4 linked regions of the Schizosaccharomyces pombe genome follow. The gene in region 1 interacts genetically with each later gene. Each region holds a gene or a part of one and is shown in the gene's direction. Other genes may lie near its edges. The genes, in order: prz1, gsf2, cmk1 and ncs1.

What was found.
Region 2: of prz1 (region 1) and gsf2, changing one suppresses a phenotype caused by changing the other (phenotypic suppression), as found in Schizosaccharomyces pombe (one study listed by BioGRID).
Region 3: of prz1 (region 1) and cmk1, changing one suppresses a phenotype caused by changing the other (phenotypic suppression), as found in Schizosaccharomyces pombe (one study listed by BioGRID).
Region 4: of prz1 (region 1) and ncs1, extra expression of one impairs growth in a mutant of the other (dosage growth defect), as found in Schizosaccharomyces pombe (one study listed by BioGRID).

The regions. Positions count from the first base shown.
Region 1 is NC_003424.3:785,007-793,277, reverse strand, and holds prz1 (calcineurin-responsive transcription factor Prz1), read left to right. Parts: upstream 1-3,365; 5' UTR 3,366-4,113; coding exon 4,114-6,159; 3' UTR 6,160-6,500; downstream 6,501-8,271. Other genes in the region: mta1 (S-methyl-5-thioadenosine phosphorylase), read left to right, coding at 1-229, 329-589; SPOM_SPAC16C9.01C (carbohydrate kinase), read left to right, coding at 1,110-1,149, 1,187-1,264, 1,427-2,394; smp3 (alpha-1,2-mannosyltransferase), read left to right, coding at 6,715-6,838, 6,879-7,004, 7,049-7,117, 7,216-7,382, 7,423-7,580, 7,646-8,271. UniProt on the Schizosaccharomyces pombe protein: Involved in the regulation of calcium ion homeostasis. Binds to the calcineurin-dependent response element. Transcriptionally regulates pmc1.
Region 2 is NC_003421.2:958,517-969,307, reverse strand, and holds gsf2 (protein Gsf2), read left to right. Parts: upstream 1-3,295; 5' UTR 3,296-5,335; coding exon 5,336-10,027; 3' UTR 10,028-10,109; downstream 10,110-10,791. UniProt on the Schizosaccharomyces pombe protein: Galactose-specific adhesion protein essential for non-sexual flocculation and filamentous growth. Required for adhesion and filamentous growth through recognition of galactose residues on cell surface glycoconjugates. Induces flocculation when overexpressed.
Region 3 is NC_003424.3:1,735,838-1,742,878, reverse strand, and holds cmk1 (calcium/calmodulin-dependent protein kinase Cmk1), read left to right. Parts: upstream 1-3,578; 5' UTR 3,579-3,791; coding exon 3,792-3,955; exon of another isoform or gene 3,956-4,002; coding exon 4,003-4,057; exon of another isoform or gene 4,058-4,124; coding exon 4,125-4,215; exon of another isoform or gene 4,216-4,287; coding exon 4,288-4,618; intron 4,619-4,680; coding exon 4,681-5,047; 3' UTR 5,048-5,426; downstream 5,427-7,041. Other genes in the region: potassium ion/proton antiporter Kha1, read left to right, coding at 1-2,263; mdv1 (CCR4-Not complex subunit Caf4/Mdv1), read right to left, coding at 5,931-7,041. UniProt on the Schizosaccharomyces pombe protein: Important in cell cycle regulation.
Region 4 is NC_003424.3:308,214-314,778, reverse strand, and holds ncs1 (calcium-binding protein), read left to right. Parts: upstream 1-3,224; 5' UTR 3,225-3,344; coding exon 3,345-3,408; intron 3,409-3,447; coding exon 3,448-3,480; intron 3,481-3,598; coding exon 3,599-3,942; intron 3,943-3,988; coding exon 3,989-4,120; 3' UTR 4,121-4,622; downstream 4,623-6,565. Other genes in the region: pus9 (tRNA pseudouridylate synthase), read right to left, coding at 1-749; SPOM_SPAC18B11.03C (N-acetyltransferase), read right to left, coding at 1,193-2,505, 2,567-2,597; gpi18 (dolichyl-phosphate-mannose--glycolipid alpha-mannosyltransferase PIGV), read left to right, coding at 4,973-5,028, 5,060-6,398. UniProt on the Schizosaccharomyces pombe protein: Negatively regulates sporulation perhaps by controlling Ca(2+)-dependent desensitization of git3.

The DNA.
Region 1 (8,271 bases):
AATTTTAAGTTCATGCGGCTCCAACTTAAAAAATGGTTCTAAATTACATACCAAACGCAAAGGAGATGATCTTACTGTCGTGTGTATGGAGGGTCCTGCATTTAGTACGCGTGCAGAAAGCAATTTATACAGAAGCTGGGGAGCCAGTATTATCAACATGTCAGTCATTCCCGAAGCCAAACTAGCTCGCGAAGCTGAGATTGCCTACCAAATGGTTTGCATGGCTACAGTAAGTTTTTAACATTCAATGTACCTCTCAAATCAAAGCCATGCTTTTTAGACAAGTACTTTGAACTTATTATTAGGAAGGAATTTTAACAAAAAATAGGATTATGATTGCTGGCGCATGAATGAGGAGCCTGTTACTGTTGAAACCGTGATGGAACATATCAGTAACAATAAAGATAATGCAAAAATCTTTTTACTGGAAGCCGTCAAAAAGTTAGAAGCTCCACTTTTGCAAGGATTTTTGGGAAGGAACTTGCGAGAAAGTGTTCAAAATGGGATTCAAACAAATCACAAGCATCGTAACCCAGATGCAATTAGACGACTTCAATTTCTTTTTCCCAATCTTACCATTCCGCACTAAAGAGCAAAGCTTTGGGAAGTAACATTTGAAATTTTATAAAAGAGTAGACTTAGCTATATTGCTTGCTAATTGACTGGTCAGGACTGTTGCATTGCTAACACTTAGATTAGTTAATTTTATATTGGAAAGTGATAATTCCTTTTTGAGAATGATGAGTACTTCCTATATATCGTTAGGAAAATACAATGTTCTAAGTATGACATGTGTGCTTGATATATGGTATGTAGTAGTATGCCCATTCATCTCATACAAAAGTAAGCAAATGCAAAAGTACATTTTTTACGGATACTTAATTTTCAGCATGATTCAACACTTCCTTCATAAATATGAAATATTTTATTTAATTATTCGCCATGTTACCTTTAAATTACTATACAGAGTGCAGGATGTTTATTGATAATTACGTAGATTATCTGCAGATGTTCGCTAACTCTGACTTTTAATGCACCAACATTAAAGCAATATATGTTCTTATAATTAAGAAAAAAACAACTTACAGTAATTTTTTGGGATTAACAAAATGGATTATCCTTCGAAAGATGTGGAATTCGTCACAACTGGTAAAAACTTTCACATATAAGTGCTAACGAATGCAAGGCATGTTTATTATAGATGAAATTGAATTCGACGGCGGAAAGAAGATTAAAGATATTATTGGAGGTGCAGGATCTTTTGGTAAGTGTCTAATTCTTTTTAAAATTTTAAGCGGAGCGATTTGCGAACTTCATTGGTGAAGCATATCTGTTTATCGAAGGTTGAAATCCTCTCCCTTAGAAAAAAGATGCATTGCGTCCAATATTTTTATTATTAAAATAATAATTAACACATTATTTTCAGCATTGATTGGTGCTAGACTCTGGACGTCTGAACCCGAAAGTCAACAACTGGGAATGATTGTTGACAAAGGCTCTGATTTCCCGCAGGTGATCCTCGATGAATTAAACGATTTACATACTGGAATTGTATACAGAGAAACGCCTTGGAGAAAAACTACATATGGTTACAACCGTCTCAGGGACAATGGTTTTCGATTGTTTGAATACCTTACACCTAAAAAGCCAATTCGTGCTCCTGATCTTTTGGAAACAGGATTGATATATGCAAAAACAATTCATATTATTACAAATCCTAAAACATTTGTCTCTGTGTGTGAGGAACTGGCAAAGTATGGAAATCTAAAAAATCGTCCTAAAATCGTATGGGAGCCAACGCCTGAATCCTGTTTACCGGAAAACTGGCATATTTTACAAAAAGCCTTAAAGTATTGTGATATATTTTCTCCAAACGAGGTGGACTCTGCCAACCTTCTGGGTATAGATATTAGCGAAAGCAAATCTCGAGCCAAAGAGTTTGTATCTGCGTTTCAAGAATTCCAAATTGGGCACGATTCTCAAGGATGGGTTGTTCTTCGAAATGGGTCCGATGGTTGTTTAATTGGTGCATGCACGAGTAGTACCAACGCTACAAGCGATGCAGTTGTCCCTGTGCGAGAAATTCTTCATTTGCCAAGTGTACAAATGAAAAACGGAAGCGTTTTAGATACCACTGGGGCTGGTAATGCTTTTTGTGGAGCTGCAATCTTGGAGTATTATAGGACGGGTAATATTATAGAAGCTTGTGCTAAAGCTACTGTAGCCGCTTCGTTTGTCATTCAACAACACGGTTTGCCGGCACACACGAAAAATAGTGAAGGGATTGACTTATGGAACGGAGAATCAGTCTTTCAGAGGTTGAAAGAATACTATGAATTTTTAGCTTCTCATGAAGCTTCCGCCATCAAAGAACTTACGAAACGAGGTGTATAGGTTGCTCTTACAACACAATATAGTCATCTTTTGCTACGAAGTACAAATACTTAATAAGATTATTATACCATTTATTACAATACGCAATTTCGTTGCATTACAATTGGGATTTTCTGCATCTAGGTAATCTAATACAAGAAATGCTCTTGATATTTGCAAATATGATATATATTAGTTGACAGAACATCGGTTGAAGTATCCGATATGAACCGCTTCGTTCACAACATTCAACTAAGCCTCTGCACCAAAGAGCCTGGAACTCGTCAAAGCCGCCGTCCGTCGTATCGTGAGAGAAGATTCTTCAAAAATAATCAATAGTCAGAATTGCATGGTGGTTTGAAGTCTCTTACATATAATTTATAGTACTTTATGTTTTCAACTTAGAATTATTCCACAATTTATAAGTAGTACTACACCTTATTCTGCTTCCCCACTAATGAGTTTCGGATGGTGTTGAAAAGCTAATTTCATGAATTTCAAGCTTTGGGGTTTAATGCTTCTTGACAAGCCTACGGAAGTTCTCCATGTTGTAAGTGGTATTACATTTGGGCACGCCTTCAACTAATAACCGGCACTTTAAAGTATGTGGCTTTGCTTCCTACCCCTTAAACTAGAATATATATTTGATGTCGCTCAATAAATAAAACAAATTTTCATACATTCATGTTATTTAGCTATTTGTGCTTTGTATAAAATACATGTCTCATCACTTTACTATACACAAGTCGCCACCCTTTAGTAAGTCCAGTAAATTTTCAATAGAAAATTGGATGAATATCCTTCAAAAACCAATTTTTTTTCATTTCTGGAACTCCTTAACTGGGATCCTTTGTATATGGAAATTTATTATATTTTGTTTTTAATTTGTTTAGCAAACTGTTCTTTAGCATCCTGCTGCTTCATACTAACTTCAAGTTTAAACTGCGTGTTACTTAAAATTCGTTACCCGATCACGTCTTGTGCAATCCTTTACCACTACATCGCAGAAATATCTTGATGATTTAGCAATTCATCCGTTGTAAATATATAATCTGCTGGCCATTTATTAAACTATCATTTTTTTTTCTGTGAAAATCAAAGCGTTTAGCTGACGCTGTAGTATATTGAGGCTATTCTGTTTTTTTTCATGTCGAGTTAGCGATTTGCGCTTGTATACTTGTCTACCTAATTTTGCAATTTTTCCTAATCGTTAAAGGGTTTTCTCTTGTGCTGTCCTTTAGGTTACTTCCTCATTTCGATCTGTGAAAATCTCATTTGTCGCACTCTCTCCTCTCATTTGTATTGCTTAATGCCCTTTTTGACGTTGCTTAGCTAACAATTATATTGTACTAACCATCAATCTTCTCAGACTTTTATCCTGCGCATTATTCCAAAATACAAAATTTTGTATCAAGAAATTCTGTCGTTATCTGATCAAATCCTGTGAAGCACTGGATTAACTTTGACGACCTCAAGTCTTAATTTTTTCGTTTATTAAACGATACTTTTGGTAATTAATTATTCATTCCACTAATAAATTTCACACCCTTGGTGTTGCTGGTTTATCCAATTTATTACTACAAACCAGCTTTACTCTACTATTCGGTCAAAAAATTCACGTTATAGGCTTTTTGAAAAATAATTTGTCTAACCATTCAATTAAAGAGAGTTGGTGAGTCTTCAGACAATATTTTTGAGAGCGTACCGTTCCAAAAGTTAATTATTTGATGAATTTCATCGATGGAGCGTCAAAGGTCAGAAGAAGCGAATCGTAGATTCAAAGACTTGAATCCTTCTTCTTTATACGATAACCTTTCAAAGCCGGATCTTGGAGGCTCTAGCGAGTTGCATACGTACATGAATGACACTTCGCTTGCTGATATCCCCCTTTTTGAGGATACTCTTGCGTCTGAAGTTTCTTCTTCTTTAATTTCCAATCCTTCTAAAAATAATATTCAGCACCTCCATCCCAACACCTCCGAGCCTTTTAAAACGTCTTCAAAATCCGATGAATATGATTCTTATCCTCGAACCGGGAATGTACCTACTTTTTCATTTACAGAACTGAACGATACTTCAGTCAGTGGCTTCGGTAGTCAAGCGGTATTTGAAAACTCCGTTAGCCCTTTAAGTAATCCATCAAATAGTCCGCAAGCATTTGACTTGACTCAAGGTTCGAGTTCTACTCATAACGCCAACGACTTTACTGTTAACAATGTTGGCTCAAGACGACAATCCATTTATGAGTTTAATATTGGTATTCCGTCTTCAAATATCGATTCTTCTCAGTTCTTACCAGTTTCACGTGCAATTGCGGCTTCTGAAATTTCTCCATCTTCATCGCCTCAGCTATTAACATCCTTCCTTCCCTCAGGATCTGTTTCAAATCCGAGTTCTCCATATTTACAAGGTTCTGTTGGTGCTCTGTATGAAGCCGATGCTTTTAATTTTGTTGATGTAATGTCACAGGCATCTGGAACTGAAGTTGATTCAGAGAGATTTCCTTCTGTTGATTTTGAAGATCCATCTTTATTGATGGAGAATCAACAAAATATTACCGGAACCGGTTCTTTTGCTGACTACCTTCAACCACCTTCTTCCGGGAGCCTGGGGGCCTTTACGAACGCGTCTCCTGGTGAAAGCAACACTGGTATAGATTTTGATACGGATAATACCAATTTGAATCCTTCCGTTGATTTATTGTCTAACCATTCCACACCTTCTTTCATATTTGAGAACAGTCCTTCCGCTGAATTTTCTCACCAGTCATCCCCATATCTTGTTCCAAACTCCGGAAGGACTTTAAACAGCGAAAATGCTAGAGAATCTACTATTCGTTCTGTAAATTCTCCTTTTTCTGAGGACCATGCAGATGCCTCTTTAACAACACACGTTTTTGACCCTATTTCTCCTACCGCTTTAAGCAATTCCGTTTTGAATTATGATTCAAACAACTTTTCGGGTACCCCACAAATTAATGTAGTACCTTCATCTCCTTCCAAATCCCAATCTGGACCTAGTTTGCCAGCAAATCCTCTTCTTCAAACAGACATTAGTATCACTTATAGCCAGTCTGCATCTCCAGTATCTGGTCAACCTGCTATGAATGAAAATTCTTATGACTTACAAAACGCTAATCTTTGTGCTCCTGAAATGTCACCCACATATACGGCTCGTCATCGATCAAATAGTGCTGGCTCACGATTTGATGCTTATGAGCCCATACCTCAATTATATACTCACTTTTCACATTCTTCTGAATGTCTATCTGTTAACCAAGATACCGAACTGCTGGGAAAAATAGAGAATGATAATTCTAAGTCGAACGATTATTTGTCAGTTAGAAATACTCGTCCTCGAAGTCGATCATTGAATTCGCTAGTAGGAAACAAATCGGAAAATTCGTCTTCGTCTAAAGCAAAGTCAGAGTCTAAGTCTCAAGGAAATTACGTTTGTACATTTGCTGGTTGCAATAAGCGTTTTACTAGGGCTTATAATTTGAAAAGTCATATGAATACACATACAAATTACCGTCCCTTTCAATGTTCGATTTGTAAGAAATCATTTGCTAGACAGCATGATAAACGGAGACATGAGCAGTTACACACTGGCATTAAAGCCTTTGCATGTGTCACTTGCAATCAGAGGTTTGCTCGCATGGATGCACTTAACCGACATTATAAAAGTGAAGTTGGACAAAATTGTCTTCGCACGGCCACAGAACGAGGAATTCAAGTTCCGCCATCCAGAAAGACAGCAGTGGCCTCGACAAGCAAACAAAAATGATGTTTTAATTTCCAAAGCAAGACATTTTGCTTGCACCTGTGATTAATGGGTGTCTAACTATATTTCCTTTTGCAATGTGATGCAAGTATTTGCACAGTTTTGCATTTAGGGTTTTGTATTATTTTTTATCTTTGATGTTACGTTTGGCTTCGTTTATAGTTTATTAACTTTTTGCCCTTTTTAAAGAGAGTTGACATTGTTTATACTTAGTGATTGATTTTACCCCATCGTTGATCCAAAATACGGCTTTTAATATTAGATTTGTTTAAAATTAATTATGTTTTGGGTATTGAGTTAGATTAATTTAAAATGTAATAAGACCTGCAATTCTTCTAGTACAATTATTTTACTGAAACATTAGTTTAACGTATACTTTTTGTATGCTTCGTGTATTCTTAAACATATACCCGTCGACCAAGAGTTGTTTACATTTTCGCTTAGCAAACCTTTTTCATAACAAACATATATAGTTCGGAATATCTCGTTATATCTTCATCGTGTAATCCATTGCACACTGAAGCAATAAATCCCGTGCTTTATCCATTGAGATTAAGGATGTTTAAAAACCGTAAATATGCTATAATTTATACTTTTCTCCTAATTTTACGCTTTTGGTTTTCGCAAGGCAGCTCATACATACATCCGGATGAGCATTTACAATCGTTTCAAATATTCGCAAGTATATTACAATTCTTCAACAATTTATGACTAATATAAAGATAAATTATTTGGCTGGAAAGTGGAACTTCCATGGGAATTTACTACTAAAAAACCAATTCGGTCTGTAGTTCCTTTGAATGTGATGCTTTTACCTATTTTCTTGCTTTGCCGGTGTATTTGCAAATGTAAGTGTATTTTAAATTGAACGAAATTCTTACATATCCAAAAGCGAACTGCTCTCCGTATCCTATTTTGTTGTTCACTAGACTCTATATGTGTTTGATCTCTTTGTTAATAGGTATGTACATTGGCGAATATTAAGCTCTGATAAATTTGGAATTTATTTCAGAATTTACTACAAACCTTATTTCCTCCTTCCTTGACTAATTTTGGCAGATTTGAGTATTTGGAACATCGTACCTTTGAACGCAAGATGGAGTGCATTGCTTTTATATTCCTCATCCTTCATGGCTACTACATTTCAAACACATACTTTTACAAACTCAATTGAAACGATTTTCTTTTTTTTAACTATACTATTTCTTTCGAAGTTGAATAGTGTGGTAAGTTAATAGCTGGCAACTCTTAACTAACAAGAATCAGCCATTAAACAAGAAAATTAGTTATTTATATACATTTTTGCTTGCAATTGTTAGTGTATTAGGATTTTTCACAAGAATCACTTTTTTAGCTTTTGTGATCGCCCCCTATATCTATTTTTCTGTTCGATGTTTTAAAAAGAACGTGAACAATCCGAAAGAGTAAGTGATTTTGATTTTTAAATTGAATTAAAAATATATTATGGAATAAACACTAACTGGATTAGCATCTTTTTGCACTTATGTATTTTTGTTTCAGTTTCTTTTGCAACTGTCTTAGCATGCATCCTCGAGGACTACAAGTTTTATGGGGTGTTTGTGATAACATTTTGGAATAATTTAAAATACAATTCTCAAATCGAAAATTTGTCACAGCACGGATTGCACTCAAGATTAACACATTTTTTCACTAATATGCCACTCCTTTGTGGTCCTCTGATTTTTGTTCCAAAGCTTTGGGACGTTCGAAAACCTGCAACTTGGTTATGGCTTCTCCCCGTTTTCATACTATCCCTGTTTCCTCACCAAGAGCCCAGGTTTTTGCTACCCGCAGCCTCTATTTTTATAGTGAACTCTGGATGTCTAGTTCGTTCATATTGGATCAAATTTTTATTTGTAATGTATGCAGTTGTTTTGGCAGTTTTCTTCGGCATAATGCATCAAAATGGTGTTATCCCTGCGGTTTTGGAAGTAAAAAATATTATCGAACAGAGAAATGTAACAACCATGGAAAATTGTAATTTGTATTTTAATCCGGAAATGCCCACGACTATTTATTTTTGGAAGATTTATAGTGCTCCGACTTGGATGCTTGCTCGTCCAAAATTTAGCCAAATTAATACCTCTCATCTTT
Region 2 (10,791 bases), on another chromosome or scaffold:
AAGAAATTATCATATATATATACATTGTGTGTAAACATGTATGTCTATATAATATAAATTAGAAATCTTCATGTCCTCATGGATGGTAGATTGCAATTGAAACAAGTAAAAATGTAGGTAATGGAAGAACACAGGAGGAAATGAAAATGGTTGAACAAGGATTATTTAATATATTAGTGAACGATTAGGAAATCAAGCATCATCCAATATCCAGCCTTTCCATTAACAAATTGCATTTCCACATAATCGAGAAAAAAAGAAATGACGAAACGCAAAAAAAAAAACAATAACAACAACAACCACCACAGTGAAAAAGAATATTTCCGTCGACTAGAATGAGAGTGATTTAGTGAACGACGCACAACAAACCCATTCTCTCAAAAAGTGATACATTTTGAAATGACCTTTACTAAATTAATTGGGTAAAAAGATGAAATCGGTTTGTTGAAGAAATATGCTTCCCTAGAAACAAACGTTGAAAAAGGTTGTTGTAAAGAATGCTAAGTATCCCTTGTTCATTGTGAATGTTTTCAATTGCCTATCTAAAATTCACAGACGAAATGAGAAGGAAAAAAGCCAGCCAACTGTATACGCAAGAAATGTGTGACAATTCGACAAGAGTCATAGAAAGTGGGCGGGAAACAGAAACACACAGAAAGTATGACAACTAAAACAAAAAAAAAAAGCGATTATAAAGAAAGAAAAGACTGACAGCTTGAAATTTTGAATTGAAAACCAAATCATCCTTTTAAACATAAACATAAACATAAACATTTCATTTCCTTTCCAATCCAATTCAATTCAATTCATTCCACTCCACTCCACTCCACTCCAATCCTTTTCAACCCCCAGCTTTCATCGCTTCCCTCTTAAAATCGGTTTTTTCTCCAACTCCATCATTCATGAGAATAACGACAACGCACTCCACCTTAATACCGGTCTCTGAACATTCAACATCCATCCCCTTGGAGCAAGGGAGAGGGAGAGGGAAAGAGAAAGTGGGAGTCAGCAACATTTCCTAATACTTTCCTTATTGAATGATTGTAAAGCGGGGAGAGATTAAGATGATAGATTCACAATAGTTAGGGGAGAAAAGTAGAAAGAAACAAATGATACTCTCAACCACTTTTTTTCCTTTCCAACAGAGAATAAGAGAAAACAAGAGAAATTGAATATGAAACCATATTAAAATTATGGGAAGGTTAACAAACTTTCCACATGCCATAAAACATTAGATGAAACGATAAAACCTTGACTTGTTTAGAAAGTCACGCACGATAGGCATAGAGTTTGTAAATAGAAGTAAAAGTAGCAAGCGGAAAATTAGAAAATAGAAAACAGAAATAGAATTAAAAAAGTGGAAAAAATAATATAGAAATAGAATTAACAAGTGGGACACAAGTATCAAAGTAAAAAATAAAATATAAATAGAAATAAAGAATCAAATTACCATCTTGTATATCTTCTTCTCTTTAATTATGCTTAACGACGACCTCGCTAATCGTAGAAACCTCTTGTTTTGAAAAGGTGAATAACGAAGCGGAATGGAGTCACAATGTTCTCCTTCTTCATATGATGCCATAAATAAACAAGGAAGCGAAATTTAAAAGCCGCAATTGGACAATGTGTTTGACATCATCCTTCCACTCAACGAACAGATAACATCATGTCATGACGTATAAGCTTTAGTGTTTTTGTATTTGAGAAACAAACATTGGTCAAGGATTACCGAAAATTTAAAGGGTTGATTTACCGAAATCATGACGTATTCCATTCAATTTCAGCACGAGGAAGAGGTAAAGAACATCAAGTAACGGAGACCCTATGTAAATAAAGAAAGCATGGAAGAACAAATAAAGGTAAGGAACAATAAAATGTCTAAGAAAAAAAAGAAACAAATACGACTTCTCTTCGAAAAAAAACAACAACAACAACAATTAACGATTGCTCTTTTCTTTACATATATATATTTTTTTATCGTAATTTGATTGCCTTGTTTTCCATGGGAACCCGAGTGTATGAATATTGGTGAATTCGTATGTACACATAAAACTTTACTGTGTGAAAACAAATAATGAATTAAAAAAAAAGAAAAGAAAAGCATCTGATTCAGCCACCTCTTTTTTATCTAATTTCCCTTCTACAGTTTATGAAAATTGGATGCATAATCGAAATTGCCCTCTTGCCTTGTCGGACCGATGGTTATTTACTAATAGTATATAAGCCTACCCCTTTTGCTTAACGAAGCATTTTACGAGTCGTAAAGTTGAAATTAGCGAAAAGTTTCGCAGCACATAAATTGACAATTCCACAGAAAAAAAAAATGTTTGAAAGAGAGAGAGTGTGTGTGATTCAGGATTCTCTTTTTTTATTCTTTTTTATTTTTGGGGGTAAGGTATTCTACAATACACGAAGAAGACTTTTTTTAAAATGTCCATCTAAAAATAGAGAAACTTAGAAGACAATCGAAGAAAATAAGATCCCCTTTGATCACTGAATGCACTACACTACACTGCACTAATTCCGTTTATGAATGCCGTTTAGTACGGCAGGAGCGGGTTACTGCTAAAAATAAATAACGACGGCTACTAAGAATAGAAAGTAAAGTGGGTGTGCTATCCGATGTTGGTTATTTACAGAAATAGACGAGAAACACAAGAAGCTGCTTACAAACAAAAAGTATTTGTTGTGTGAATGGTGGATGAAAATAGAAAGGTTCTTGTTTTAACTTCTTCTCATATCTTTTAAACGAATAATTAATGAGTGTTTCTTTATTCGTGAGTCTATATTCTCGGGTTTCCTTCTCAAACTTTCATCCAAAATAGCTAGTTCTATAAAAATAACCATTTCAACATGTGCCTAGGCATTGCCGGCTTTACCATCCATGATGGCTAAGCCAAACTAGCTTTAATCACAACCAGAGCAAAAAGTACACACTGACCGAAAATAGTACATACTGACCTGACTGTTTAGTGAAGTAGAGCGTAGCATGTACACAGTAGCAAAAAGGATATAGTACGTTGGCTTTGACGTTTGGAAAAGAAGCAAAAGAATTCATTTCATTCTAAAAAGATTTCCATATATTTTATGTAATTTTTCTCGTAATTATCAAGGCTTTCGTTCATTTCTTGTCCTTGTTTTTCCGATCCAATTTGCTTAAAAAAAAAAAAAAAAAAAAAAAAACTCATTCCGATTCACTATATTACTTAAGAATGCAGTATATATAATTAGCGTAGAGTAATGAGAGTTGCAAAAATTACCACCATTCTACGGGACCAGATTGACAACACCTGGTGAGCGCCGCCATGCATTCTGCCTCCAAGGCAAGCTGGACTATAAGCCGGCAGAGGTTTGACATACTTGTAATTTTATGAATTGGACATATAGAAGTAAATGCAAGTATTTTTATCCGAGGAGAACGCTAGTTGGAGGGAGAAGATGAAACAATAGTGGTGATAACAAAAAAAACAAAAACAATTGCCAAAAATTGTAGGAAAAGAAATTGGAAAAGGACGCGTAAAAAGTCATTCAAATCAGTAGAAACTTTCCAATGCGCGAATGGACATCCATCCATAATATTGAAAGGTTATTTTTCGTTTACAATCGTCGCAATTCAAATAGACGCGAAAAAATAGCAACTGAACGCTGCCACCTTAAAATTGAACTAAAAAATTTCAATTATAAATGCTTTGATCACTAAGCAAACATTGAAAATCTAACGACTTAGACGTTGCATAACTAATGAATTGACATTGCATGAACTACTACTACATCCTTCTAAACACCGCCTTTCTCGCTACCACAACCCCATCTCTACTACACTTCCACTCACTTACTCATCATTCTTCATAGTCGCACTTTTTCATTTCTCTCCTGTCATCTCCACAAATTAAATCTTAATCTCTTGTTTCACTAGCTTCTTAATTGCAATTAAAATTGCGCTTGCTACATCCTCTACACTACTCCTGTAATCAGCCTTCTTTTCTTCTCTTTCTTTAGCATACTCGGTCTCGTTATTCCATATATCGAAATTTTCTTCTTCGCTCGACCTCGATATTCTTAGGAACCAGCACAGAATGCAAAAGTGGATCCTTACCTCCATGTTCCCGAGATAGAGATTATTCCCTAGCCGAAATTAGAATTTGCGAAGAGGTTTTATGTTATCGCGGGGTCTTCCACATAGGTGACAACGATTTTTTAAATTCGAATTCAAAATGTTTCTCTAAAAAAAGAAAAACTTGCAAAAACGGGGAACATTTGAGAAAAGGGTCATCGGGGTACAGAGAGAGGGGTATAGAAAAAGTCGCAAAGGAAAAATTCCGTAAATATTCATTGCTAAAATTTCACACAGATTGGTTTGGGTGTAGTTATTTATAAATATGGCCGCATCTACTTAAGAAAGTTATTTCGCTCCTACATTGAAGGCGAGTGGTCGAGTGTTCGTCAATCAGTCATCAATTGAACATCCAAAACATTCTTAACGAGATTAAGATCGTTGACTTTCTTCTATAAAAGCAAAGCATCGAGAAAGATTCGAACATTGCAAAAAAAAAGGATTACCTATTCCATATACACCATCTGTCTCTCTCTTTTTGTTGAGGTTGCTAGAGTTTGGTTATTGGAACTTTCTTTTTTTTGTTGTATCATCATTTGTTTCCTTCCTTCCATCTTTATTTTGGGAAAGCGACTTGATCTCTCTTCGCTGCACGAATCTGTGATAACAATATCTTCACTCATTCTTTTCGCCAGCATCCAATTTTGTTTTTTTTTTGAGAAACAAATCTGCTCTTGTACATATTCTACATTCTTTTGAATTACAAGTGGGTATTTTACATTCATTTGAATAATTTAAAATAAATCTGGCTAGCATTTATTTTTTAATATTCTCCCCTTTTTTCTTTACATCCCCCATTCTATCGTCTAGGATTTCGGGTTGAAATTGGGTTTTAAGTTGTCCTACATTTACACAAAATAAACACTGGGTAATTTCGTGTTTGGGTTGGTTTGGTAATACAGCTTGCGAATCTCCTTTCATCCAGTTATTTTTTATTTATATATATTATTTCTTTCATTAATCTTTTCGCAATTTTGCATTCATTTAAACCCTCTTTTCTTCATTCTCTGTTGAAACTACGAGCTTTATTCATTTGGGATTCACTATTTTTCTAATTGAATTTCTATCATATTATCAATAAACGCGCTCTGCACACCAATCGTCAAGCATTGGATTTAATTTTGTTTTTGATAATATTTAATTTTTTTATTCGTTTGGTTAAATTATCTTAATAATTTTGTTTTTTTCTAATTCACTTACCCGTTTTTGAATATATCAACAATGTCTGTTAGAAGGTTTTTATCCACATCTGCTCGGGCATTACTTTTCACGGCTGCTCTTCTTCCCTCCTTGACTTCTGGTCTACCTTCTGGAAATGTCAGGATTTTGCAAAAGGGAATGGAACCTGAAGATTACCTTTCCTCTGCATCACAAAATGAAGTGCCTCACGATATTTCACTTCCAAAGACCGAGCTTGCGGATCCAAATTTCCTAGTTGACGATATGCCAACCTTACTTGGCAGAGACGCTGCTGTTGATCCTAGCATGTTTACTAGCACCTTCACAGTAAAAAATGGAAATGATGCTAACTACATTACTGCTAGTCCCGTTAGCAACGACGCTTCCATGACTGCTATTAGCACTTTTACCTCAGGGAAAGAAGCTTCTTATGCAATTCAAGCAAGCCCATCTACCTTTCTTCCTGATTCGACTACCACTTCAGGTTCACAAGTTTCAAATGCTGTTGAAGCGAGCTCAACTTTTGTAGCTGATACGACTAGCACCTCATGCAACCCAGCAACGGTTTTAATTGTAACCACATCTGGTTCAACAAGTACTAGTTGTCCCCCTCCAACAACAATTCTTATTGTTACAGTCCCTACCACAACCACAACAACTACTGTTGGATATCCTGGATCCGTCACTACTACCTTGACTGGAACTCCTAGCAATGGTACTGTTATTGATACTGTTGAGGTTCCCACTACTACTAACTATGGTTACACCACTATTACCACTGGTTATACTGGATCCACTACTCTTACCACTACTGTTCCTCACAGTGGTAATGAGACTGGACCTACTACAGTTTATGTGGAGACTCCTTATCCCACAACTGTCACTACCACCACTACTGTTGGATATCCTGGATCCGTCACTACTACTTTGACTGGAGCTCCTAGCAATGGTACTGTTATTGATACTGTTGAGGTTCCCACTACTACTAACTATGGTTACACCACTGTTACCACTGGTTATACTGGATCCACTACTCTTACCACTACTGTTCCTCACAGTGGTAATGAGACTGGACCTACTACAGTTTATGTGGAGACTCCTTATCCCACAACTGTCACTACCACCACTACTGTTGGATATCCTGGATCCGTCACTACTACTTTGACTGGAGCTCCTAGCAATGGTACTGTTATTGATACTGTTGAGGTTCCCACTACTACTAACTATGGTTACACCACTGTTACCACTGGTTATACTGGATCCACTACTCTTACCACTACTGTTCCTCACAGTGGTAATGAGACTGGACCTACTACAGTTTATGTGGAGACTCCTTATCCCACAACTGTCACTACCACCACTACTGTTGGATATCCTGGATCCGTCACTACTACTTTGACTGGAGCTCCTAGCAATGGTACTGTTATTGATACTGTTGAGATTCCCACTACTACTAACTATGGTTACACCACTATTACCACTGGTTATACTGGATCCACTACTCTTACCACTACTGTTCCTCACAGTGGTAATGAGACTGGACCTACTACAGTTTATGTGGAGACTCCTTATCCCACAACTGTCACTACCACCACTACTGTTGGATATCCTGGATCCGTCACTACTACTTTGACTGGAGCTCCTAGCAATGGTACTGTTATTGATACTGTTGAGGTTCCCACTACTACTAACTATGGTTACACCACTATTACCACTGGTTATACTGGATCCACTACTCTTACCACTACTGTTCCTCACAGTGGTAATGAGACTGGACCTACTACAGTTTATGTGGAGACTCCTTATCCCACAACTGTCACTACCACCACTACTGTTGGATATCCTGGATCCGTCACTACTACTTTGACTGGAGCTCCTAGCAATGGTACTGTTATTGATACTGTTGAGGTTCCCACTACTACTAACTATGGTTACACCACTGTTACCACTGGTTATACTGGATCCACTACTCTTACCACTACTGTTCCTCACAGTGGTAATGAGACTGGACCTACTACAGTTTATGTGGAGACTCCTTATCCCACAACTGTCACTACCACCACTACTGTTGGATATTCTGGTTCGGTAACTACTACTTTGACTGGTAGCGGTAGCAATAGCATTGTTACTGAAACTGTTGATGTCCCTACCACTACTAGTGTTAATTATGGTTATACTACTATTACGACTGGCTGGACTGGATCAACCACGCTTACTTCTATTGTTACTCACAGTGGAAGTGAGACTGGTCCCACTACAGTTTATATCGAAACTCCCAGTGTTTCGGCTACTACTACCACTACTACCATTGGATATTCCGGATCTCTTACAACTACATTGACCGGTTCCTCTGGCCCTGTTGTTACCAACACAGTTGAGATTCCTTATGGAAACTCTTCGTATATCATTCCTACAACCATTGTTACTGGCACCGTTACTACTGTGACAACTGGTTATACTGGTACTGAGACTTCTACTGTTACAGTTATTCCTACTGGAACCACTGGAACCACTACAGTTGTTATTCAAACGCCTACCACAGTGACTGCAACTGAAACCGACATTGTTACTGTTACAACTGGTTACACTGGAACTGAGACATCTACTGTCACAGTTACTCCTACTGGAACCTCTACCGGAACCACTACAGTTGTTATTCAAACGCCTACCACAGTGACTGCAACTGAAACCGACATTGTTACTGTTACAACTGGTTACACTGGAACTGAGACATCTACTGTCACAGTTACTCCTACTGGAACCTCCACTGGAACCACTACAGTTGTTATTCAAACACCTACCACAGTGACTGCGACTGAAACCGACATTGTTACTGTTACAACTGGTTACACTGGAACCGAGACATCTACTGTCACAGTTACTCCTACTGGAACCTCCACTGGAACCACTACAGTTGTTATTCAAACACCTACCACAGTGACTGCGACTGAAACCGACATTGTTACTGTTACAACTGGTTACACTGGAACCGAGACATCTACTGTCACAGTTACTCCTACTGGAACCTCCACTGGAACCACTACAGTTGTTATTCAAACACCTACCACAGTGACTGCGACTGAAACCGACATTGTTACTGTTACAACTGGTTACACTGGAACCGAGACATCTACTGTCACAGTTACTCCTACTGGAACCTCCACTGGAACCACTACAGTTGTTATTCAAACACCTACCACAGTGACTGCGACTGAAACCGACATTGTTACTGTTACAACTGGTTACACTGGAACCGAGACATCTACTGTCACAGTTACTCCTACTGGAACCTCCACTGGAACCACTACAGTTGTTATTCAAACACCTACCACAGTGACTGCGACTGAAACCGACATTGTTACTGTTACAACTGGTTACACTGGAACCGAGACATCTACTGTCACAGTTACTCCTACTGGAACTGCTACTGGAACCACTACGGTTGTCATTAATACTCCTACAACTACTGGTTCTGAGGTCCTTCCCACTACTGGTGCTACTGGAACTGCTGGTACTGAGACTCAACTCACTACTGCTACCGAGGTTCAACCTACTACTGGTGCTACTGGCACTGCTGGTACTGAGACTCAAGTCACTACTGGTACTGAAACCCAAGCTACTACTGCTACTGAGACTCAAGCTACTACTGCCACTGAGGTTCAAACTACTACTGGTGCTACTGGAACTGCTGGTACCGAGACTCAAGCTACTACTGCTACTGAGGTTCAACCTACTACTGGTGCTACTGGAACTGCTGGTACTGAGACTCAAGTCACTACTGCTACCGAGGTTCAACCTACTACTGGTGCTACTGGCACTGCTGGTACTGAGACTCAAGTCACTACTGGTACTGAAACCCAAGCTACTACTGCTACTGAGACTCAAGCTACTACTGCCACTGAGGTTCAAACTACTACTGGTGCTACTGGAACTGCTGGTACCGAGACTCAAGCTACTACTGCTACTGAGGTTCAACCTACTACTGGTGCTACTGGAACTGCTGGTACTGAGACTCAAGTCACTACTGCTACCGAGGTTCAACCTACTACTGGTGCTACTGGCACTGCTGGTACTGAGACTCAAGTCACTACTGGTACTGAAACCCAAGCTACTACTGCTACTGAGACTCAAGCTACTACTGCCACTGAGGTTCAAACTACTACTGGTGCTACTGGAACTGCTGGTACTGAGACTCAAGTCACTACTGCTACTGAGGTTCAACCTACTACTGCTGTTACTGAGACTTCTTCAAGTGGATATTACACTACTATTGTATCTTCTACTGTGGTTAGCACTGTCGTTCCTGGCTCAACCGTGTATCCTGTCACTCATGTTACTACGACTACTGGAGTATCCGGAGAATCTAGTGCTTTTACTTACACTACTTCCTCTACCCAGTACGAGCCTAGCACTGTTGTTACCACTAGTTATTATACTACTAGTGTTTACACTTCAGCTCCTGCTACCGAAACTGTTTCTTCTACCGAAGCACCTGAAAGCAGTACTGTTACTAGCAATCCTATTTATCAAGGATCTGGTACATCTACTTGGTCTACCGTTCGTCAATGGAACGGTTCAGCTACCTATAACTATACCTACTACACGACGGGTGGTTTCACAGGCGGTAACAACACCAACGTTACTGGCTTATACCCATCCTCCGCTGGAGCTAATAAGCCAATTGCCTATTTGACGTTTGTCTCTTTGTTTGTATATATTGTTACTCTAATTTAAACAAACGATCATGAGGTGTTAATGTTTTTAGAATAAATGGAATTAAACTAGTTATCTTATAATAACAAATTATCATTTAAAGATATTCTATTGTTGTTTTCAGAATAACAGCATAAGTAGAAAAAAGGTGCTAATGTAAAAATAGTGAATGAGTGACAAGTTAATGTAAATGAATTCAAAGCAATAAGTGTGCGTATTTTTAGTGTAGCATTAAAAAGTACAGCATGCATAGTGTATAATGAAGGAATACGATAAAACGCATAGTGTAAAAGAGTGAGATGTGATAAAAGAGCGAGTTTGTCTAGTCACATGTACTACAAAGGTAAGGCGGCGTAGCGGGAACAGTAAAAAAATTGTGCAGCTTAGACAAATTCAGTAAAGCGAATTGTGCGTCAGCAATATAGCACTACACTATATAATTTACTACGCCGCGTATCACTATATGTCATATACTAAGATACTAGTGAACATACCGCATACCGCTTTACCGTTATATTGTAGATCGCAAGAGAAACTCACCGCGGGTCAATATGTATCGGTAAACAGATACCGAACTGCGTAGCTAACAATAAGAGTGATGTACCGTAAAGAACAGTAGGGTGCAGAAAGGAACTGCGAAATGCGTTACATCAAATTGGGGCTGGTGAATATAACAAATGGAGCAATAAAGAAGAAAATATAATAAGTTTGTAAAGGTAGAATACCAAGTCTGTTGAAAACCCATTTTCAAATGAAGAATGTTTCAATAAATTCTATTTCTATCT
Region 3 (7,041 bases), 950 kb from region 1:
CCTATACAAATTTACAACTAGAGAATTTGAATTTGGTAAATTTCTACTTTTTATTAGCACAGCTATGTCAATTACCGCTTTTCCTGTGCTGGCCCGCATCCTTTCAGAATTGCACTTATTACATAAACGGGTCGGCGTAATCGTTCTTAGTGCTGGCATTGGTAACGATGTTATCGGCTGGATTTTATTAGCATTGTCAGTTACTTTGGTAAATAGTGGCTCCGGTGTTCGAGCTGTATATATACTACTGCTCGCTTTGGGGTGGTGCCTTTTTCTTTTCATAGCGATAAAACCGCTTGTATACTTATTAGCAGTTAAAACCAGGTCCTTAAAGGATAAACCATCTGAGTCTTTTATATGCATTGTTTTATCAATGGTCCTTGTTTCTGCTTTCTTCACCGACATTATCGGCATTCATCCAATTTTCGGTGGTTTTCTTGTCGGTACCATTATACCCCATGAAAACGATTTAACCGTTAAGATCACAGAAAAGATAGAAGATTTAGTAAATTGTTTGTTTCTACCACTTTACTTTGCTAGTTCAGGATTGAAGACAAATATTTCTACGCTTAACACTGGGAAAATATGGGGATACACGATTGGAACAATATGTGTTGCCATAGCTTCTAAAATGGGATCTAGTATGCTTGCTGCTCGGATTCTCAAAATGCCATGGTCGGATTCACTAGTCGTTGGATCGTTAATGTCATGTAAGGGCCTTGTTGAATTGATTGTTTTGAACATCGGTCTCTCAACTGGAATATTGAATGAAACAATTTTCTCCATGTTTGTGTTTATGGCTGTTATAACGACATTTGTCACCACCCCTATGACTAAATTCTTTCTGCGGTTCACTAAAAGTGAACATGATGACAATTCTATTGAAAGTTCCGAAGAGCTTGTGCAGTATCTTCCAGAATTGCCGACTCGACTCTCCTTTTTAATCAATCATCCATTGGATGCTTCTGCTGCTATGATATTTATACAACATATTTATGAGAACCGTGATAAAGTGAGTGGCTGTCTACATCTGCCTCAAATAATTATTCATAGTATTTGGACACTTTTTGTTGATTCTCGTACTTCAAATCTATTGAGGGCCTCACAGGTCGATAATAAGGTTGAAAATGAAGCACTAATGGGATTGTTTGAAACGTTTGTAAAAATAAAAAAATTTGAGTACGAAAGCAATGCCTTGCTAGTGAGTGGAACTGGTTATTACAATGTGGTTCTTGAGACGTTGAAGAAGTCTTCTTCAAACATTTTGATCATGCCCTATTTGAAGGATTATAAAACAATTGAGAATGAGAGCTCTTCTTCTCCTCTGTCTTTGAGTTCCATCCGCTTAGCTTTGGGTGATTCTTTTAAATCTTTGGATGAGTTGATTCCTTTAATAAAGATGGCCCGGATCCCAGTTGGAGTATTTTTCACACGTAATCCTCACAATTTATCAGTGAAAAAAATTAGGCCTATCATACGTAGTACTGAGTATGGTTCACCGAAGAATGATTTTGAACAATTAGAAAAGGACAAGAAGTCCTTTGATCAGGTTGAGATTAGTGTGAAAGAAAAAGGCTCTACATATGAAAGAAGCAAGGTTGTAATTCTCATATATTTGGGTACTGAAAATGATTTAATTGCATTGGAGCTTTTACTTAAGTTTTTGTATGAAGAGACGAGTATAGCCTATATTTACACATATGATGAATTCTATAAAGATGATTATGCGACGTCATTGCCTAATGTCGTTTACACAAGTGAAGTGCTGTTAAGCAAGCATAATGACTCAGCTTTTAAGGTATGGCCGAAACTTCGAAAAAACATTCGAAAAATAACTAAGCCAAACGGATTTACAACAGACCAGCATTCTCAGACCTTTATTCCTTCTCAAACACATACGAAACTCGATTTGAGATTATCTGATGTAACAGATAGTGTTCGGTCGAGGATTAATGTAGTAAAATTTGGAAATTTAAACTCACTTTTGAGTTGTCTTCATGAACTTATTCAACCTGCAACCTTGACCCCTTCTTTCGAGACAGAAAAGAGTATAACCATGTTTTTAGGCTGTAGGGATAAACAAGCTGTGAGCGAAAAACTTGAGGTGGCTGCACTGTCGGAGATGAAGAAATTGGGTTACATTGAGTCTAGCTCAGAATTTGGTATGCTTGCAGGTTTAATTCCGTTAGTGCTGTTGAGCAATTTTCCATTAATAGATTTCTTTTTAGGGAAGGCACCTACAAAGATGGTTCAAGGTTATTGATTAATTTCAGGTTTTTATTGCATCCATCTCATAATTTATTTTTAATTAATGATTTAAATGGTTTTCATAATTTATTTGGAATCCAAAGGATCGACTATATTATTTTCAATGTTAGAATTAATGCATTCATCTCTATTCGTTATTCGCAATGTAGAAAACTTGTTTTATACCTTAATAAGAAGAAGTTACTTAGGGTTCTTCTAGTTTTTGGCTATATCGCGATTTATCAAAAAGTGTTATTTAAGAGTTGAATAGTTTACATTGTAGACTCATCTTCCTTCAAAAACCCATGTGAGTTTAAACCCTTATTGGTTTCGTCTGTTTAAACCGATACTTTGAATTTATATCATAGCAAGGGTAAAGTACTGTAGAACAAATGGAGTCAAGCATGCATGCGCATTTTTTACTATTTACTTCTTCAACATTATCTCCAATACATTTCGACTAACTATCATACAAGAAGCATATGAGAAATTAACATACCATACTCACTGCTATTGTAAAATGTATGGTATTCCTTTCAGAAGGTAGTTCGGTTCTTTCTCAAATAACTAAATACCTCTTCCAAGATGGAAAAGATTATAAAAGTAATCATTCAAAATCGATTTTATTAGCTCAATTTACACTCAGTCTGTTTTTCACAATTTTTGTTACAGTATGAATCTTTGTTACGTGGTTACCTTTTCGTATTCTGTTCTATGTTGTTAATACGCTTACTGTATTTAAACAAACTAAAATGCATGGGATAGCGCATTATTACGGTATACGTTAGTGACCAATATTCGCCATGATGGCTTGTTATATCTACTTAACTCTCATGAGCTGGTAATATCAGCGAAATTTCAAGCAGTTCGCGTTTTGCCAATTGCTCATAAAACTGCGATTTTTTAAGGATTGTATAATTAAATTCAATTCTTTAAATAATTGTGTTGCATTGTTACAGTGTTTGGTGGTTTCAATACGCTAATTGTAATTTTGATCTTTCTGATCTTGTTTTCTCTTAGAAGAGGAAAATAGGTACGGAAATTACTGAACCGATTGGGAATTACCAGGATTTATGACTATACTGCAGACTACTGGTTTTGCAATTGCAAATCAGTTGGACGGTATTTATCAGACGCTGGTTTTCTTGTTATCTTCATCAATACTATTCGGGTACATTCAATATCAATATCCTGTTAAATCCGAGGATTTCAATATACCTTTTCCAAATTTTTCCATATTTACAAGTTGAGGCTAAGCACTTATTGTCATAAGTTGGTGGACAGTCATTGCGCTGCTTAGATCATTCTGTTATTGAACCACCGTTTAACTCAACAGCCTGCTTCGCGCAAATAATATTTTCTTTATTGTTTCTACGGGATTTTTTTCATTTACATACCTTTACATTTTTGGTTTCATAAAAGAATTCTGTAGTACAGAATTGTTTATGGCACCATCTAACAATACAATAATTTACATTAAGAGAAACCTTTTACGTTTACCTTCGTTGGCATTGGAATAATTCATCTATTGATTCTTTACAGCTATGCAGCAAACATACAAACCAAACACCTCGGCCTTGAAAGACGGTGCTCCAAAGGCTACGGTGGATCAGAAACAACTATTACCTTGCAAATATCGTGTCGGTCGGGTTTTGGGAGGCGGAACATATGCGACGGTTCGTGAAGCCGTTCATATCGAAACTAACAAGTAAGTATATTTTAAATTCGAGTTGTTTGCTGACCAAATTTTCATAGAATGTATGCGGCTAAGATTATGAATAAAAAGATGATGGAGAAGAAACAAGACTTTGTAAGTAAAGACTTAAGTACTTACAGCATCCTTATTTACGTTTACTAACATGTTTTTGGTGGTATAGGTGAAGAATGAAATTGCAATTCTAAAACGTGTTTCTTATGAACATCCTAATATCTTACACTTGGTTGATTTTTTTGAAACTGTGAATAATCGTATGTCTCCGATTTCGATTTGATGAATCAAATGTTATTGTGATGTGTTTTGTTCACTAACCCTTGAAACAGTGTACTTAATCACTGAACTGGCCACCGGTGGTGAACTTTTTGATAGAATATGTGCCAAAGGTTCATTTTATGAGGCCGATGCTGCTGCTTTAATGCGTACTACCACATCAGCAGTTAAGTACTTGCATGACAATGGAATTGTACATCGAGATTTGAAGCCAGAAAATTTACTTTATCGCTCTAAAGATCCGAATTCAGATTTGTTAATTGCCGATTTTGGATTGTCCCACTTTTATGAGGATTCTCAATACTATATGCTCATGACGGCATGTGGGACACCAGAGTACATGGCACCCGAAGTCTTTCGTCGAACCGGATATGGAAAACCTGTGTAAGTTGATCAACTACCATTTTAATTCAGAAGTTATGTATCTTGACTAATACTGTTTATAGAGATATGTGGGCTATTGGCGTTATAACTTATTTTTTACTCAGTGGTTATACTCCATTTGCTCGACCTTCTCAGGTTGAAGTTATAGAAGCAATTTTAGCTAACGAGTACACTTTTAACGATCCTTGCTGGTCTGGCATTTCAGAAACGGCCAAGGACTTTATTAAAAAATGTTTGGAAAACGACCCTTCGAAACGTTTAACTGCTGCTGATGCGTTGAAGCACCCCTTCCTGTCTGAAAAGCGTCCCGCAACCTCCAATTTGCTTCCAAACGTCCGGGAAAATTTCAATGCAAGAAAAACGTTCCGTACTGCCTATAACGCTGTACGTGCTTTCAACACTTGGAAAAAGCTTGAGAATAAGCATTAATTATACACATCTTTTCTTATAACTTTCTTATTTTATCTTGTTATGACTTATGACTTCTTTATTATCTTTTGCCCTCAGTACATACTTTTTTGGTATTAACACTCTTACATGTTAAATATATTCTTTGTGATTTGGAATGCTTGGACCTATCATGTTCTCTACTTAGTTTTTAAAATAGCCTCATACAAAATGCTAAAAGTTATGTCGATGTTTTAAAAAGTAACGCTACCAGTTTTCTGACATTGTTAGACTGTTGACGACAGATGAACGCAGTTGTTTAATTCTCTATATATATTGCAGATGTAAAATTTTGAAATTTTAGCATTTATGACTATTTATGCTTCAAAAATAAAATGACCATTCAGTTAATCTGAAATATAAAAAGAGCTTGGTTATTTCCATATTTTACTCACTGTGTGAGTTCAAATTGCTAATTTCAAAAAGATTCTTCAATACTTATTATGTGTAGTTGACATTAAACACGCTGAGCGTGTTTTGTAAACTGGATCAACAAAATGAAATACAACATCTCAGATCAGAATGAGGTTGCGTACTTCATACTAGTAAAACCAAAAAAATGTAAACTAGAAAAGATTTTTATTTACTAAATTTTAAACCTACAGTATAAGAAGCAGAAGGGAGGTGGTGATCAAACAATTTGCTTTGAGAATTTTTTTAAATATTTTGAACAAAATTAACATCACAGTTTTTTATTCGCAATGTCTCGTTCCTTTTTATTTGTCCATAAATAAATAAAAAAACCAAACAGAAGTTAATACCCATTAACCAAAGCATAAAGACATAAAATTTTAAAATTAACGTTATCCAGATTCAACACAATAACGAGAGTATAATAAATAAAGGTGTGGATAAAAAATACAAATTAAGCAGAAAAAACGCTAACAGATCCATCAGACTTTCCATCCACCAAAAAGCGATCTTTATATTGAACAGAAGTAGGTACTGAGTTAGGTTCGGCTGCTATGGAATCAGAGTGAGAAGGAATTGAACAAATCCAGTTCCGATTAGATACAGTATCAAATATCCTAACATTTGGTTCATCAGATGCTACAGCAAGACGACCTTGATACAGTCTTAAGGAATTCACTTTTTTCTCCATAGGTATAATATTAATTGGCGAGCCACTTCGTAAATCCCATATTCTAACAGAATTGTCATAGCTTCCGGAATACAAATGGTTGGAATCGAATTGCAAAGAAGAAATAGGAGCTGTGTGCCCAATGAAACTTCTCACAGGAAGACCGATTCGCAAATCCCAGATGCGAATAAGTCCATCGACAGTCCCACTAGCCACAGCAGCATCTAAGCAGTCTAAAGCTCTGATGAAAGGTTCTTGTTTGTAAGTGTCACTGACCAAAATTTGACTAGTAGATGTATCATGAGTTTCCGCCCACACAAAGTCCAAAGTTTGAATACAACGCCCCGTAACGATATCCCACTGTCGAACAGTTTTATCATCGGCACCGGTTATAAGCACATCATCACTAGATAATGCTAATGCAGTGACAGGGGCAGTGTGAGATGTTAAAACATTTGTGGCATTGTCAACAGGTTGATCGGGAGGAGAATTAAGGCTCTCTTCAACAGGATTATCCTTATGAAGTACATCATTATCTAAATTCCATAACCGCACGGTTGTATCCATAGAGCCAGTAGCAATAAAGGAGTCTTGAATCGCCAGACAAGAAACATAATCAGAATGACCTTTCAATGAACCCAGGTATACAACACCCGCCATATCCCAAACTTTCACAGTTTTGTCAGTCGAGGCCGTAGCTAAAGTTCCAAAAGGATGGGAAAAATCAAGACTCGTAATATATTCAGAATGAGCTTGAAACTGCTTTACGAGATTTCCAACTATATAATTTTGATTCACAGATGATTCAGTATTCTCTGGTGCTTTAGAAAAAGCGGAATTCTGTTCAAAGTAATCTGATACCACTTCACTAGCCGTAGATGGCCTTGGAGCTCTT
Region 4 (6,565 bases), 480 kb from region 1:
CCGGTCAGTGGTTTACAAAGCACGAGGGATGTGTGTCCATCAAACGCAATTCTTTTGAAAACGGTGCTGGCCTCCTTTCCATCCGGATGGATCCTATTTAAACCTAAAGTAGGTGCAACAGTAAGTAACGGAGCATCGCAAATTACTTCACCAGAATTGGGGAACTCTCCTATTACTCTAGCAACATATTCTTTTTTCAGGCTTTTGCTAATCATATGGACGCGCATTTCTTCAGCGGCTTTAGGACTCTTACTAAAGAACATCAGACCAGAAGTTAATCTGTCTAATCTATTGCAAGGATATAACAGAGAACATTTGTTTTCTTTCATCAAAATATGTAAAACAGTATTGTGATTATAGCGACCTGTAGGATGCACTGGAACACCAGCAGGTTTGTCAATAACAACATAAGATTCATCTTCATGGACTATGCCTACTGGTTGGTCAGAAACTGGTGGTTCATGACGATGCGCATGATGGGAAACTATGTATCCATTTTCAATCAATGTGTCAACGTTACCAATCTGATTGTTTACCTTAACTTGACCATTGCGTATTGCCTTTTCATAATAACCAGATTCCCTGTCCCTAAATTCGGTATTGAAAACCTCTAAAAGAGTTTTACCGTACCACCTCAGCTTCGCGAAGGTAATGTATTCATAATAGTAGGGAGGGACTCGCCGTAGCCCGTCGCCTTTAAAAACGTATTCACAATCTTTCAAAGGATCTCTTTTAGGTCTTTTTAACATCCCCTTAGACCACAAGCGAATGGTTGAGTTTAATCCGCTAATGGTGGAAGTGAAAATCTAAGTCGCGGTTGGCAAAGGAGTGTAGTTGTCTTGGTATTATTCTCGTACTCACTCAACCTGTGGATAACAATACTTATAGTGTTCAGCTACTCAAAAGTATTTATGGTATTTAAAAAATTTTTACTACATGCTCTTTGTTGTTAATAAGAAGACTTTCGAAAGTGAATAATATAGGTGTCTATTCAAGAAAAGTTCGAAATCTTTGAATTAACCAGCATTACCTTAATAAAAAGTGCGTATAAAGCTTCAAACTTTTCATAATTCAAAAATTCTTTCGAATAACCTGTTCTCAATTTGAAATCTATAAATAGGAGAAGAATGGATAAAAATAGGTAAAAAAATAAACAAACCTATTAGTCGATGATATTTTATACTGGGAACGGCTATGAATTCATAGAAACCTTTTCGAGAATACTTAGAAACTTATCCCTTATTTTTATAGCCAGCTCATGAGTTTGTTCGGTGTTCCCATCATCAAAAATAGAGAGGGAAAACGAACATGGACCATCTGCTACTGTTATAACATTTAGTACAAAAGGTGCAGAAAGACTGGAACAAGGTTGTGCAAATGCCATATTCTTGATTTTTACCGACGAATCGGCGGGAAAGCTAAAATACCCCAAATTAGATATTTCAGCCGTATTTCCTCTAGTTTTTTCACAAGATTTTAAAAGGTAGTCTTCAATATCAATATAACTTAGCAATCCAATTTGTTGAGACATCTCCCTAGGATTGCTAAGCGCTGCTTTTAATCGATGCGAAAACTCAGTTGCTAAATCTACCATGGTATGTTTATAGTCCTCCTGACGCTGACTTGGCTGAAAACCGTTTAGATGATGAACGTAAGAAAACACATAGTTTCCCATGGTTTGCTTGGCTACGGGCAAAAAACGGCGCGCATTCACATCAATGAGCATATCTAGGTTAACTTTACCATTTTTAGCAATAGCATAATATATACTGAGCATAAAGACAGAATAAAAAATCGAAGTGAAAGAAGCGTCTATGTTTTTTGAGAGTTGCTTGATGTTTTTAACAACAGCATTAGAAATTGAAAAGAATATTGTATGCGATGAAAATGGACGCACTGGAGCATGACCTTTATAAGAAGGAGACCGAAAGCCCTTAGAGAACGGAAGTCCAGAGTTTGTCCATAGTGCTTTCATTAGACAAAACCATGAAGGATGAACATCTATTAGTTTTTCAAGATTTTTAGGAAGTGGTAATTCTGATACTGGCACGGTTGAAGATGAAAAATTTGTTTTGGACATTTGTAATCCTTCCAAAACATATTTATGAAACAAAGGGCCACTTCCTCCGTCGAAAAGGGAGTGATCATATATAAAAACTAATTCGGACTTATCATTTAGTACATAGACCATCCAAAGAGGAAGTGTCTCATCGTCATAACATAGCTTAAAATTTTGAAGAGCGTTATTGCAGAAGCTATCAACTTTCTGATCATCAGCATATTTAACGACCTTATCAAGGTCTATTGTTTTCAACTTCTTTACAATGGGAATTTTGCTATGACAATTGTGGATCCTAGCACCTAGCATCGGTTGATTGACAATTGCATGATATACTGCTGGATATAAAACTGTCGAATCGAGCGAAATAGAGTAAGTTGCAGAAACAATTACTATAGAAAACATATTTAAGACATTCCTCTTGACGGAATAAATTTCCAACCGTCCTGTAGACATTAGTAAGAAAATGATTAGAAAATCGAAGAAATGTTAAACATAATTACCAACCTGCTTCTCTTTCTTCCATGTAGGTATCCATAATGATATTAATAGCTTTGCTTCAACGACAATTCAATAGTTTTGAAACCGAATAATGAGAGAATGCACTATTTAATCAGTGGTGAGTTATTTCAACGCGTAAAAAATGAAAATTTACATAAATTTACCAAGCGGCGCAGTGGAATCTCAATATCCATCGATAATCAATTGTAGTTAAATTCCAGCTACTTTGTTCATATTTTTATTTTTGAAACAGATAGATTTAAAATATAAAAAATGTATTTTCTGAACTGTAATAAAGGATGGTAAAGGTAAAACTACAAGATCAATAACTAATGTACAAATGAACTTTCAAAACATCAACTTGATGTTTTCAGTGATCTATAAAAAATCATTTTTTATGCTTACTATTTAAATATTTTTTTATATTCGTTCACATAAGTATCAACAAAGCTTGCATATTTTATTATTCACATAAATTGTTATATATCTGGAATACACTAGTTTAAAAATTTTCTAATAAATTTCTGCCAAACATGTATACGTAAATTTACATATCTTAGAATTAAAAAAAGATGAATTTACTTTTATAATGAGCCAAATAGGAACTGTTTTAATACCATTTAACACTAGTTACAACTTGTCGATTGACAACTCAATTTACCCTGCGCCTCCCCAACTTCAACTACTGCTAATTGCTAAACAACTTTAATATCCGACAAGTTACTTAAAAAAAATTATAAATTAAACCAACTATCCTCTGAGAAAAGATTAACTTGTCTTCAAGATGGGAAAATCACAATCAAAATTGTCTCAAGATCAACTCCAAGACTTAGTTCGTTCTACAAGGTGTACGTTTTGTAAAACTAGTCAATACTAACAAATCCAAGTTGATAAAAAGGAATTGCAACAATGGTATAAAGGTATGACAGCTATCCTAAAAAAATTGATTTTACATCCGCATCATGGTTCTGCAATTTGAATAAGATTCTTAATTGCTGCTAAATTGAATGTTTAACGCTGAATCTAACAAGTATGCAGGGTTTTTTAAAGACTGCCCTTCTGGCCATTTGAATAAGTCTGAATTTCAGAAAATCTATAAACAATTTTTCCCATTCGGTGATCCGAGTGCTTTCGCTGAATATGTATTTAATGTTTTTGATGCTGACAAAAATGGATACATTGATTTTAAAGAATTCATTTGTGCTTTAAGTGTGACTTCGAGAGGTGAACTGAATGATAAACTTATATGGGCATTTCAATTATACGATCTTGATAATAATGGATTGATTTCTTACGACGAAATGCTACGAATTGTTGATGCTATCTACAAAATGGTTGGTAGCATGGTCAAGTTACCGGAGGATGAAGATACTCCTGAAAAGGTTTGAATATTTAGTATGTTGAGCATAATGTCTAATAATTTTTTAGCGCGTCAACAAGATTTTCAATATGATGGATAAAAACAAAGATGGGCAACTGACACTTGAGGAATTCTGCGAAGGGTCCAAACGTGATCCGACTATCGTGTCAGCCCTTTCTTTATACGATGGATTGGTTTAGCTTTTCACCCCTAGTATGCATTATTATCAAAGTTTTCTTCTGCATATATATCTTCGATTAAACTACATTTTCGTTTTTATCTGTCTACCTCTCAACTTTTTTGTTGGTGAGATTAATAAGGTAGTTTTACTGTGCTTTTACTTAACATATCTGTTGTTTGTTTTCTGGCTTACTTCCTTGTTCTTTTTTGCTTCACTCAATGAAAGTACATTTTGCCTTTTATTACATTTTTTAATATAATGAAGGTTTTAGGCTCTTGCTTTAGATAAAATTCAAGAAACTATTTATAAATAATTCAGCGCGAGACATTTTTACATAGGTTCTTGCTCAATGCGGTTTTCATATATTCTTGTGCAATCACTGGATTATTTGTACCTGAAAGCTAGGGCAGTTAAATTAATTTAGTCCGAAAACGAATTGACATCTTTTACGAGTTTTTCAAACGTTACTTTTCTTTTACTGTTAATATATTCTCCATTAATAATCATCTATTTTTCACACATTTTAATGAGTGTGGTCATGCTTAGCTAAATTAAGCTTTAGGTTGTCTTTATAGATTATCACCCTGATAGTCGATTTAGATATTTATAAGTAATTATCTTTTTTAAATACTAATTTTGTGGCTTTCAATTCATTTATGAGTGTATTCATTTGAGAAATTTCTTATGTATAAATGCTTCGCATAAAGACGTTGCAATTTTAGTAGGCTTAACCCTAGTACGGCAACACCCAACTTCTTAATGGCAGGCCTGAACTTGGAGTTTTTCAAGGTATGAATATTCATTTTTAAATAAGGTATGAACCATACTAATTAAAAAGTTTACTTTATATTGTGCGCTTCCTTTAGCAGCAATGTATTATATTGGACATCCTAGTTATTATCGAAAACATATTGAACATGTATGTTTGTATATAAGACCTGTTTTAACAAAATACTAGTCAACATTCTGGGATACTCAAGAAAAGGAATTACCAAAAGAACCAGAAGAAATACATAATGAAATTAAACGAATCCGCGATGAAAAACGCAGAAAAAAAATCGAACAGTTACTTAGCGATAAGGATGACTAGGTCGGGATATAACTACTTTAAAGGTATCTGTGTTTGCACCTTTTTGCTTTCTACGATTCTTTATCTTGGCATTGCAGTAATAATGTCACACTTGTGTGTTTTTGATGATACTGCAATGTTATATCTACGACAAAATCGATCACGTTTAGCTGAATCAAATATATTTAGAACCCTGTTCATATCTTGGATTCGATGGGATGCTATCTATTTTGTTGATATGGCTGTCAATGGTTCTCTATTTGAACAAGAATGGGCTTTTTCTAGCTTATGGCCAAAAATTATTTCTTTTCTTGCTTTTCGAAGCAAGGATGTTGTGCTTTTAGGCATAGTTTCTTGTTTTGCTTCTATATTTTTTCATGCAATTGCTTGCTATGCCCTTTACCTATTAACGAAGTCCATTTTCTCAAATCAAAAAATGACCGCTTATACAGTGATATTTTATTGTTTCTCTCCTTCTGGAATATATATGTCCGTGGGTTACACAGAATCACTCTTTGCTGCTTTCAGTTTCTTGGGGCTGCTTTTGTTCATAAAGAAGCAACAATATCCCGCAGCATTTTTGTGGTCTCTTGCAACCTTAATTCGTAGCAATGGAATATTTTGGTGCATATTCTTTGGAATGCCAGCTATTGGGACCTTAAAAATAAGCTTAGAACGATTACAACTTACATTTATGCAAGTTTCCCAGCTAGTTGGTTATGGAACAAAATGCTTAATTATACTTGTTCCCTTTTTCTACAACCAGTATCTTGGATTCAAATTATTTTGCCCCGGAGTAGCTTGGTGTAATAAATCATTACCTCTTATTTATCCAGCGGTCCAAGAGAAGTACTGGAACGTTGGATTTTTGCGTTACTGGACCCTTAACAATATCCCAAACTTTTTATTTGCTTTACTCTCTATAATACCCATCTTATTTGCATTGTTTTATTCAATTTCTGGATCCACTTTACACAGTTTCCGATCCATCAAATCGCATCTTGTCCTGAGTGCCTTATATCTCTATATAGGCTGTTTCCACATGCACACTCAAGTTTTAAACAGAATGTCTTCAGCTCTTCCACTTCTCTACTGGTCAATGGCTCATGCAACCTTGTATGCAAAATCCAGAAACTTAAAAGCTTTTGGCCATTGCATCTTGTTTGTATGGATAGTTTACACTGTCATACAGGCAGGTCTCTATGGATCTTTTCTACCACCTGCTTAATTTAATTCACTCAATTCATGATTACTTAATTTTATTATAACATTTTTTTACTTGAAAAACAACACTTTTAGCCATATCTATAATAAAAACTTAGTGAGCATCTCTGAAACAATGTTAAAATATGCTAATTGTAGGTGAAGTTAACAACTCGCTGAATGTTTAATTTC